2 linked regions of the Nothobranchius furzeri genome follow. The protein of the gene in region 1 purifies or fractionates together with the protein of each later gene. This does not show direct contact. Links are inferred from orthologs where the notes say so. Each region holds a gene or a part of one and is shown in the gene's direction. Other genes may lie near its edges.

Region 1 (4,371 bases):
TGTTTGTATTTTAACTATCATGGCATACCATGTGTCTGATTTTGTAAAAAAAGCTTGATAAAATGTGATTTTTAGTTAAACCTTCTTCATTAGAAATGAATGCATTGGGGGTGCGTCTACTACATATGTCTGTGATGAGACCACCCACAGAGGGTGAGATGGGAATTGTTTCTTTTTTTATTATTGTTTCTTTCTACAAATAAAACACATCACACATTTTATTATTTTTGTGGATGACTGAAATAAAATGTAGTAAAATTAACTTTCATACTTTTTTCAATCAGTATGTGAAGTATTTTACTGGATCGTTTAATGCAAGCCCTGCGCAACCCTCGTTGTGTCTAAAACTAATAATGCCCCACTGCTGTCCAAACGTGTAAATTGTTCACCCTGTGTAATTATCAGTGTCTTTTACATGCCAGTTGCACAAATCTTCTTTACTGTTTATCTGAAGTATCATGAGTTCTGGACCTTTTTACACAGTCTTTATATTAATTGTTTTGTGTCTGCAGTAGTGATGTGTCGGTCGCGAACGAACCGGCTCTAAGAGCCGGCTCTTTGAAGTGAACGACGGGAGCCGGCTCATCATTGGGAGCCATCCCCTCCCCTCCCCCCTCCCTTTTGCTTTGGTGAAAGCCACAGGCGATTGATTGGTCAACATGTGTAACTGCGTGTCCAGACTGTCCACACACAGAACAGTAGGGGCGGGGAAGAGGGAGGATCAGACTCAGACACACAGCAGAGCAAGTGCGGGCGGAGGGAGACGAGAGGGAATGAGGAGGAGGAAAAGAGCAAGAGAGAGAGAGAGGAGAGTGTGACGAAGACGGTGAGAAAATGAGCGCTAGCACTCGGAAAGTGGAGATTTCTGAAAGTGTTCAGTTATTAAATCCATAGAAATGATAAATATTTGATATATAGCATTTTTTTACATTAGTAAATCATTTTACGTATAGTTTTGCATTATTTTGGTTATAAATGCACTCTAGGCAACAGAAAATCTGAGGAGCCACTTGGGAGCCGAAAGAGCCGGCTCTTTTTGGTGAGCCGAGCCAAAAGAACCGGCTCTCTAAAAAGAGCCGGAATTCCCATCACTAGTCTGCAGTCCTGATGAAAAGACGATCTTAAAGCAGCTACGGTTGTTTGGGTCTGATACCTCTTGTCCGCCTCAGGTTAAAAGCAGACGCATTTAGAAAAACTTTAATCGCGCCAAGAGGAAAATGTAAAGACAACATGGGCGCTCTAATCTTTGTGCAGGTGTCCAGACCAATCATTTCCCCAAAAGGTCATACTAACAGCGGATTGGACGGCGGCGTTCCTCCAACATGCGCGTGCGGGGGAGGAGCTGGAGGAGGAGAGCGGTCGTAAAGGGAAACGCCCACTTTTTGGAAGCGGAAGATGGAGATCTGCGTCGTCTTGCGGTAGCTCCGTTTGCACATCTGCATGATGGAAAGTGATGAAGTCCGGCGGAGGTTGTGAGGCGGCTCTTCCCGCTGATATGTGAGGCTGCGGCGGATTAAAGCAGGAAGCTTCGAGCCTACGTGTGTGGATTATCGGACGATGGCGAACAGCTAAAGGTGGAGCTAACGGTGTCTTAGCTAGCTAGCTGGTAGGATCTCACAAACTTTATATAATCAGTCCAGCAGTTTTTATCGCTTTGAAAATAACTTTAGGTTGGAAAATGTTAAATGTTTAACTACAGGTTTGCGCACAGTAAATAATTTATTATTAATAATAATAATGGGCTTTGTTATTGTGTACTGAATGAGTTTTCTGTCCCTTTAAGAGTCCCCACCTGTCTCCAGGTGCCTCCACCTTGTCTCTGCTGCCATGGAGGCGGGCGGCCTCCCCGTGGAGCTGTGGAGGCTCATCTTGGCCTACCTCCCTGTCCCTGACCTGGGCCGCTGCTGCCAGGTGTGCCGCGCCTGGCGGGAGCTCATCTTCTCCCTGGATAACACCCGCTGGAGGCAGCTGTGTCTGGGCTGTCCCGAGTGTCGCCATCCCAACTGGCCCAGCCAGCCCCACCTGGAGCCACTGTCCTGGAGAGAGGCCCTGAAGCAGCACACCCTCGCCACCCGCACCTGGACACGTAATGGCCAAGAGCTCCAGTCCTCCGCCTGCCTCCTGTTTTTCCGGAGGAGGAAAGACCGCAGGGTTTGGCACGTGGGGCCCGGACGGGAGTTTGAGACCCTGCGTGGAGCTCTTGGGGTGGCGGCGCCATACGACCGTGTGGTTCTCCATCCAGGAGTGTACGAGGAACAGGCCGAGGTGGTTCTGAAAGTGCCAGTGGAGCTGATTGGTCTGGGCCAGCTGGGTGAGGTGGCCCTCCTGGTCTGCATGGAGCAACAGTGTCCTACAGCCAGGCTGTGTAACTTGGTGTTCATGCCTCCCTGGTTCTCCACGGTTGTCTACAAGGTGATAGAACAGCTTTCCAACATCAACAAATGTCTTAACCCAATCAAGAATTTGTCTTACTTGTGTCCTTTCTCTCCTCTAGACATCATGGGGTCATGTCCAACTAGACAACTGCAACTTTGAAGGAGCCCAGCTTCAAATCCGTGGCCCGGGGACCTGCCAGGCTCGATTTTGCTCCTTCTCCCAGGGAAGCTCTGCCCACTTGCTGAGTGTCGTCGTCAGTCTGTTGGACAGCTGTGACTTTTCAGGAAGTGACACAGCTTCAGTGACTGTGGAGGGCCCCCCAGTGTCCGAAAGAAACTGGGCTTGTAAACATTTGACTTCCCTGGCCAGGACATTCCCATCTAAGTTCAGCAGCTCCCCCAGCTGCCCTCAGGGCAGCTCCACTCCTGAGCCTAATCCTCCAGGGGGGGTTGCAAAGGAGTATGTGAGCATGGAGGACTGGAAAAGAAGGACAAGTGGAGAAGCAGTTTGTCAGGGCACCGTCATCGGAGACGGCTGGAGTGATGGTGAGCACAGCGAGGGGGAGGAGGAGAAAAACACAAGAAAACTCTTTACACTGGATTGCAAAATCCCATGTGAAAATCACAGCCTGTCCCATCTGCTGAAGCCTCGAGCGGACGGCTCTCTGCCACTTGCCTCCTCCTCTGACCCTCCGTCTGCGGCCCCTGACCCCCTCACCCTTCAGCAGGAATTAGACAGGGACCCGGAGGCTCAGATCCTAGCCTCATCCATCCTTGGCTGCATTTTGAGACGCTGCCTCTTCAGAAATGGGAAGGGAGGTGTACATTTGTCCAATTATGCACAAGCTCGTCTGGAGGACAACGTGTTCCGTGGGCTGAACTACGCTGTCCGCTGCATCCAAAACTCTACAGTAAACCCAACCTAAATAATATTTGTTCATGATAAATCTGTCAAACGCACCGTTACATCTTTAGAGATTTCATTTCCTTTAACGTACAAACTTAAGGAGCTTGCTGGAGTCATTAGTAATTCAGCAGCAGTGTCACTGGAGCTTCCTCTTTCCCTGCTTCTCCAGATTGTGATGCTGAGAAATGAGGTGTGCGAGTGTCGCGCGTCAGGTGTGTTTCTGCGCCTGTCGGCTCAGGGCCTCATCGCGGAAAACAACATCCACTCTAACGGGGAAGCCGGGCTGGATATCCGAAAAGGGGCCAACCCCATTATTCTGGTAGAAACAGCTTTAAATGTATTGTCTGTGTTCCTGTGTTCTCCGTTATTTCCTCTTTTGTTCTGCAGTGCAATAGGATACACAGCGGTCTGCGTTCTGGGGTTGTTGTCCTTGGCAACGGGAAAGGCTCAATTCGGAGCAACCTGATCTATAACAACAAGGAAGCCGGCGTGTATGTTCTCTTCAGCGGGAATCCTGTGGTGAGGTGAGCTGGACTCCAGAAACAGGATCACGTCTATCCCACACTTCCCATCATCTGGACATCACTCAGTGTTTCTGTATCTTCTAGAAATGTAATCAGAAGCTGTTGTTAAAAACCAACAAACATTTCTTTACAGATGATACGCTGACATGTCCGTAGAGCGACACTCATTAATAACGCTTCCTTTGGCTCTGGTCCGATTGCAGCTGTTCTACCGTCATTATTACGTGATTTACACCTGAAAATCTTTCATATTTACTGTATAAAGCTAAAATATGATAACGGAGTCTAGTTGCATCATAGAAATCATTTATCAACAATTTATTGATATCGTGCCAGCCTCAGTCACATCTGTAGTTCAGTTGTAGCTCTAAACGATCTCAATGCAGATGGCAAAAATAATCCTAAAACACTTAGATGAAGGCTGCATGGTGGCACAGTTGGTAGCTCTGCTGCCTTGCAGCGAGAAGGTCGCAGGTTCAAATCCCAGTGTGTGAAACAACCTGCAGTTGGTGAAGCAGCAAATGTGGCATAAACCATCTTACATAACATCTCTGAGGAAAAACTG
Region 2 (4,301 bases), on another chromosome or scaffold:
ACCCCTTCTTGCTCAGGTGGCTCGGGAGTGTGTACGGTGATGCTTTCACCTCTGTCTCCATGTCTGGTTGGAATCATATAAAGCATCCAAAAAACTATATGTATATATGTCAATGGTACAGTAGGACGTTGCAACTCTTATAACCAAATGCGAGGATCTCTGTGAGTTGGCGGACCTGGTGAAAAAAAAAATCTCAAAATCAATTTCCACTTCTGTTGCTAAACTAGACATTTTCCATTAAATCTCATATTTTTATTTGTTATTTTAATTAAAAATAATGTTTTCTTCAACTGCTTTATGGTGACACACACACACACACACACACACACACACACACACGTATATGCTTGTGTGAACCTCCATTGACTTCCATTCATTTAGTGACTCCACTATTAACCCTAACCAATAGGGTTCTTCTTCCAGTGACCAACGCCCATCGGTTGTGCAGAGCACCAGGCTAAAAACCAAAGATGACAACAGATCATTTGCTGCTGTGGCCCTGAGACTCTGGAACTCTCTCCCCTTGAGACAAGAGCTGTCTGTCCCATCACATTTAATTTTGTTTATGTGAAGCGCCTCGTGATTTTTATATTGAGAGGCGCTATATAAAAGATTGTTTTCTTTCTTTCTTTCTTTCTTATTCTGCTCTTTCTACCTTTTCCGCCTTTCCCACCGATTTTCCTTTTACCTATTCATTTTCTCTCTCCCTTTCCTTGCATGTTTAATCCCATTTTTTATTTTTTTGTCATTTTAAAAATTAAATCAAATCATTTTTGAAAAATACTTTTTTGTTTTTGTGAAGCGCCTCGTGATTTCTTTATCTTGAGAGGTGCTATATAAAATATAATTTTTTTTCTTTTTCCTAGCCCTAACCTAAACTAATATACACTGAAAGTGTATTCTCAACATACCTCTAAAACCAAATATAACGATCCTTAGCATTGTGTGGACCAGCAAAATGTCCCTACAACGTGGAAATGTCCACACAGTCTTTTTTTCCCAAAACTTTATTGAACAAGGTGATAAGTATAGAAAACAAATTGCATATAAAATTGAACAAAGAAGATGAAACATATGCCAGGGGGTGCAGTGCACTACAGAAATGTTACACACATCCAAATAAATTATAGGTGGTGCAAATAGTTATAGTTTTTAAAGTTTTTTTGTTTAGTGATCCACTAATCAATTTTATGTAAGATAGAGTGTCACTATTATAGTGCTTGAAATTAGGTTTTTGGTTACTATACTTGCATTTGTGGAGATAGAATTTAGCTAGAATAATTAACAAATTTATAACAAGGTATACATCTTCCTTTCTGTGCTTGCGGAAAAAACAAAATACAGTCTTCCTGTTCTGTTTCTCATCTTGCGGACGTAACAGAAAAACCGAGGGCAAGGACCAGCTCGGTTTCTGATTGGTTGAAAAATATGGAATCAGATGACGTAAAGTTCCGGGTCTCTAGACCCCACAGAAAAGGTAACTCTCGGTCATTTGTCCCGAGACCAATGCTACGACAGGCAGCGTTTTCTGCCGCTCACGGTAAGAATATGACAAGCCTACGAGTTAAGCAGAGTATCACTCGCGCGCTGAAACCGTAATCTCATTACTGTTTCTATCCGTTTGTTGAATGACGTGTTGGTGGTTTGTTTGGGCCACAGCGAACATCTTCGCTGGGTGATAACTTCCTCTGTTGCTTTATCAGCATCAGTGGCAACAAGAGGCGGCTTTTCTATGCGTGTTCCGCTCCACTGCTCGCCCATTGTTTAGCCTTTACGGCTCGCGCTACTTTAACGGTCAGAGCTTCATCAAGATTCGTGGGTTTTATTTCCAGAACGTTTAATGACTATTTCAAGAACGGGAAACGTAAAGCGGAGATAGTACGATGTTTTATATTGATATAAAATACAAAATTTAGACGTGATGTGTGGCCAAATGCGCCAAAAAACGTGGCGCTGCCATGAAAATAGATCCAGCACGTGCGCCTCTTGGCCCGGTACAATGTGATTTATGTGAGTCTGATGTAGCCGCACATTTCCTACGAATTTCTTTGATATTTGATCTGGTGTCTGTCAGGGTGGACCGGTTGTAAGAATGACTATTTTCCCTGAAGTCAGTAGATTTCAACATGTGCGTCATTATTTAGAAGTGGGCACGTCCTGCTGTTGCACAAGATCCTATGAAATATCTTTTTGTAAGGGGAATGGGAAAAATGCTTGTGCTCAAACATCACACCATTATTCATCTTTTCCTTATTTATTTCCTTCTGATAGTATAAACGGGTCATTGACGTGCACCTAAAGTGTGATTAACTCAAATGACTCATAGTGATGCCGCCATTTTCATACTTTCCCCTGATTGATGTTTTCTACTCCGCCACTAAAGTAAAACCCAGTTTGGACTGGTTAACTCCGTCCTTTCCGCCGAGAGGAGCCGGGCTTGCCCTAACGTGACCCTCCCTGGCCACTGAGTGGAGTGAGCCTTAAGAGTACTGTCATTGGTCGTCTGTGGCTCTGTCCATTCACTGTCCTGTGGTCATTGGACAGTGGCCAGTCTGGTCTGAGGGGGGAATGTCTCCACACTGACCTTTTAGATAACCTGCTCATTGTTGGAGGATAAAGACAGGTGTTTAAACAAAGGGGCGGGGCCTGATTAATCCATTTCCCTTTCAAGGCTTTTGATTTAATCAAGCTCTGCATGCTGATTGATTTATCAAAGCGGGGCAAGCGGGAGGTGAGTCTGGTCTGAAACCGCATGTAACAGGTTATTAAGGGATCCTTCATAAATGTTTATCTCACTTCTTTGTTTTACAAACCCGCCTTTTTTAACTGTTCTGTTTTTTCATAAGACGCTTGGCACCAGATGAACTATCCTGCTTCCTCTTTGATACAGTTGTTTTCTTTTGGGTGACTTTTAACTTGTAATCCTTTTTTGTTTTTATCTCAACTTTAGCTAACTCAGCTGGGAGGCTGTACTAGGAGACCCCCACAGAAAATCTGTGTGCTGCTGGGCCTTTTAGTTCCAGACTACCCCAGAATTACTTATAAACACCCAGCAGAAACTGGTGAATACTCTCCCGGAGACCAGTATGGTTGCCCAGGCAGTCTCTACCCTCCAGCTGATCCTCCTGTTTCCAGTCTACCTGCTGATATGGCTGTACTCAACGATCTCCTTCCTACCCTGGTACTTCATCACTCAAGCCGGCCAAAAGAAATCTCAGTCCAAGCGAACAAAAGCTTGTTCTACGTCAGGTTTTCCAGATGGTCCGTACCGCTCCGTGGATCACTTTGACTCCCTGGCCACAGAAGACTTCCCAGGCATCAACACCCTGGATAAGCTCTTCAAGCATGCTGTGCAGCGGTTCAGAGACGCTCACTGTCTTGGTACCAGAGAGATTCTGAGTGAGGAGAACGATATTCAGCCCAACGGCAAAGTTTTTAAAAAGGTAGGGCTGCTCGTTATATTTAATTAATCTAGCTAATGGCCGATTGTGGTGTTTGACTGTTTACTCGTTGTAGCTGATCATGGGAGAGTACAAGTGGCTGTCCTATGATGAAGTGGACTCTATAGTGAGTGAGTTTGGCAGTGGGTTAGCAGCTCTGGGGCAGCAGCCCAAAAGCACCATCGCGATCTTCTGTGAGACCAGAGCGGAGTGGATGATCACAGCTCAGGCGTGCTTCAGGCAAAACTTTCCGTGTAAGTAAGAAACAGTCAGATTATGTGTTCATTCAGGCTTATCGATGTTCTCACTCAGGGTTTGTTTTTTCTTTCTGTTGAATCAGTGGTGACTTTCTATGCCACACTGGGAGAGGAGGCCATCGCGTATGGGCTGAACGAGACCGGGGTGACTCATGTAGTTACCAGCGCAGAGCTGCTGGAGACCAAACTGAAAGTGAGCTTATCTCCTAAAAGCACAAGTTTAAAACCAACTAACTGGTTTGTTCTAGTGGAGTGTGTCATTGCGTTGCTTAGATCATTGTTGTGAGGAAATACCAAGAAGAGAATACTTTAGAGAGACCGGTGTCTTCGGTTTGTCCGGTTTCAGATTATTGAGAGGAAATCAGTAAATCAAAATTAATAAAAGGTGTTTGTGTTTCCTGTCCAGCACGTGCTGCCACAGATCACCAAGCTGAAGCACGTGATCTACGTGGACCAGAAGAAAGTGACCACCGAAGGATACCCAGCAGGACTGTCCCTCCACAGCATGCAGGCGGTACGAGACCTGGGAGCGCAGCCGGAGAACAGTGTGTATTTCTCTCGTGTGTTTAGGTGAAATCAGTCAAATACAAACGTCACGCTCACA

The links.
Region 2: the proteins of fbxo10 (region 1) and acsl4a purify together in Homo sapiens (affinity purification with western blotting; 3 studies listed by BioGRID, with this or other methods). This does not show direct contact. The link is inferred for Nothobranchius furzeri from reciprocal best matches to the Homo sapiens genes FBXO10 and ACSL4.

The regions. Positions count from the first base shown.
Region 1 is NC_091747.1:78,697,348-78,701,718, forward strand, and holds the start of fbxo10 (F-box only protein 10), read left to right. Parts: upstream 1-1,388; 5' UTR 1,389-1,574; exon of another isoform or gene 1,575-1,606; intron 1,607-1,783; 5' UTR 1,784-1,827; coding exon 1,828-2,412; intron 2,413-2,494; coding exon 2,495-3,286; intron 3,287-3,451; coding exon 3,452-3,601; intron 3,602-3,669; coding exon 3,670-3,806; intron 3,807-4,371. UniProt on the Homo sapiens protein: Substrate-recognition component of the SCF (SKP1-CUL1-F-box protein)-type E3 ubiquitin ligase complex. Mediates the ubiquitination and degradation of BCL2, an antiapoptotic protein, thereby playing a role in apoptosis by controlling the stability of BCL2.
Region 2 is NC_091741.1:25,484,348-25,488,648, forward strand, and holds the start of acsl4a (long-chain-fatty-acid--CoA ligase 4), read left to right. Parts: upstream 1-1,402; 5' UTR 1,403-1,540; intron 1,541-2,950; 5' UTR 2,951-3,086; coding exon 3,087-3,443; intron 3,444-3,516; coding exon 3,517-3,694; intron 3,695-3,780; coding exon 3,781-3,890; intron 3,891-4,103; coding exon 4,104-4,242; intron 4,243-4,301. UniProt on the Homo sapiens protein: Catalyzes the conversion of long-chain fatty acids to their active form acyl-CoA for both synthesis of cellular lipids, and degradation via beta-oxidation. Preferentially activates arachidonate and eicosapentaenoate as substrates.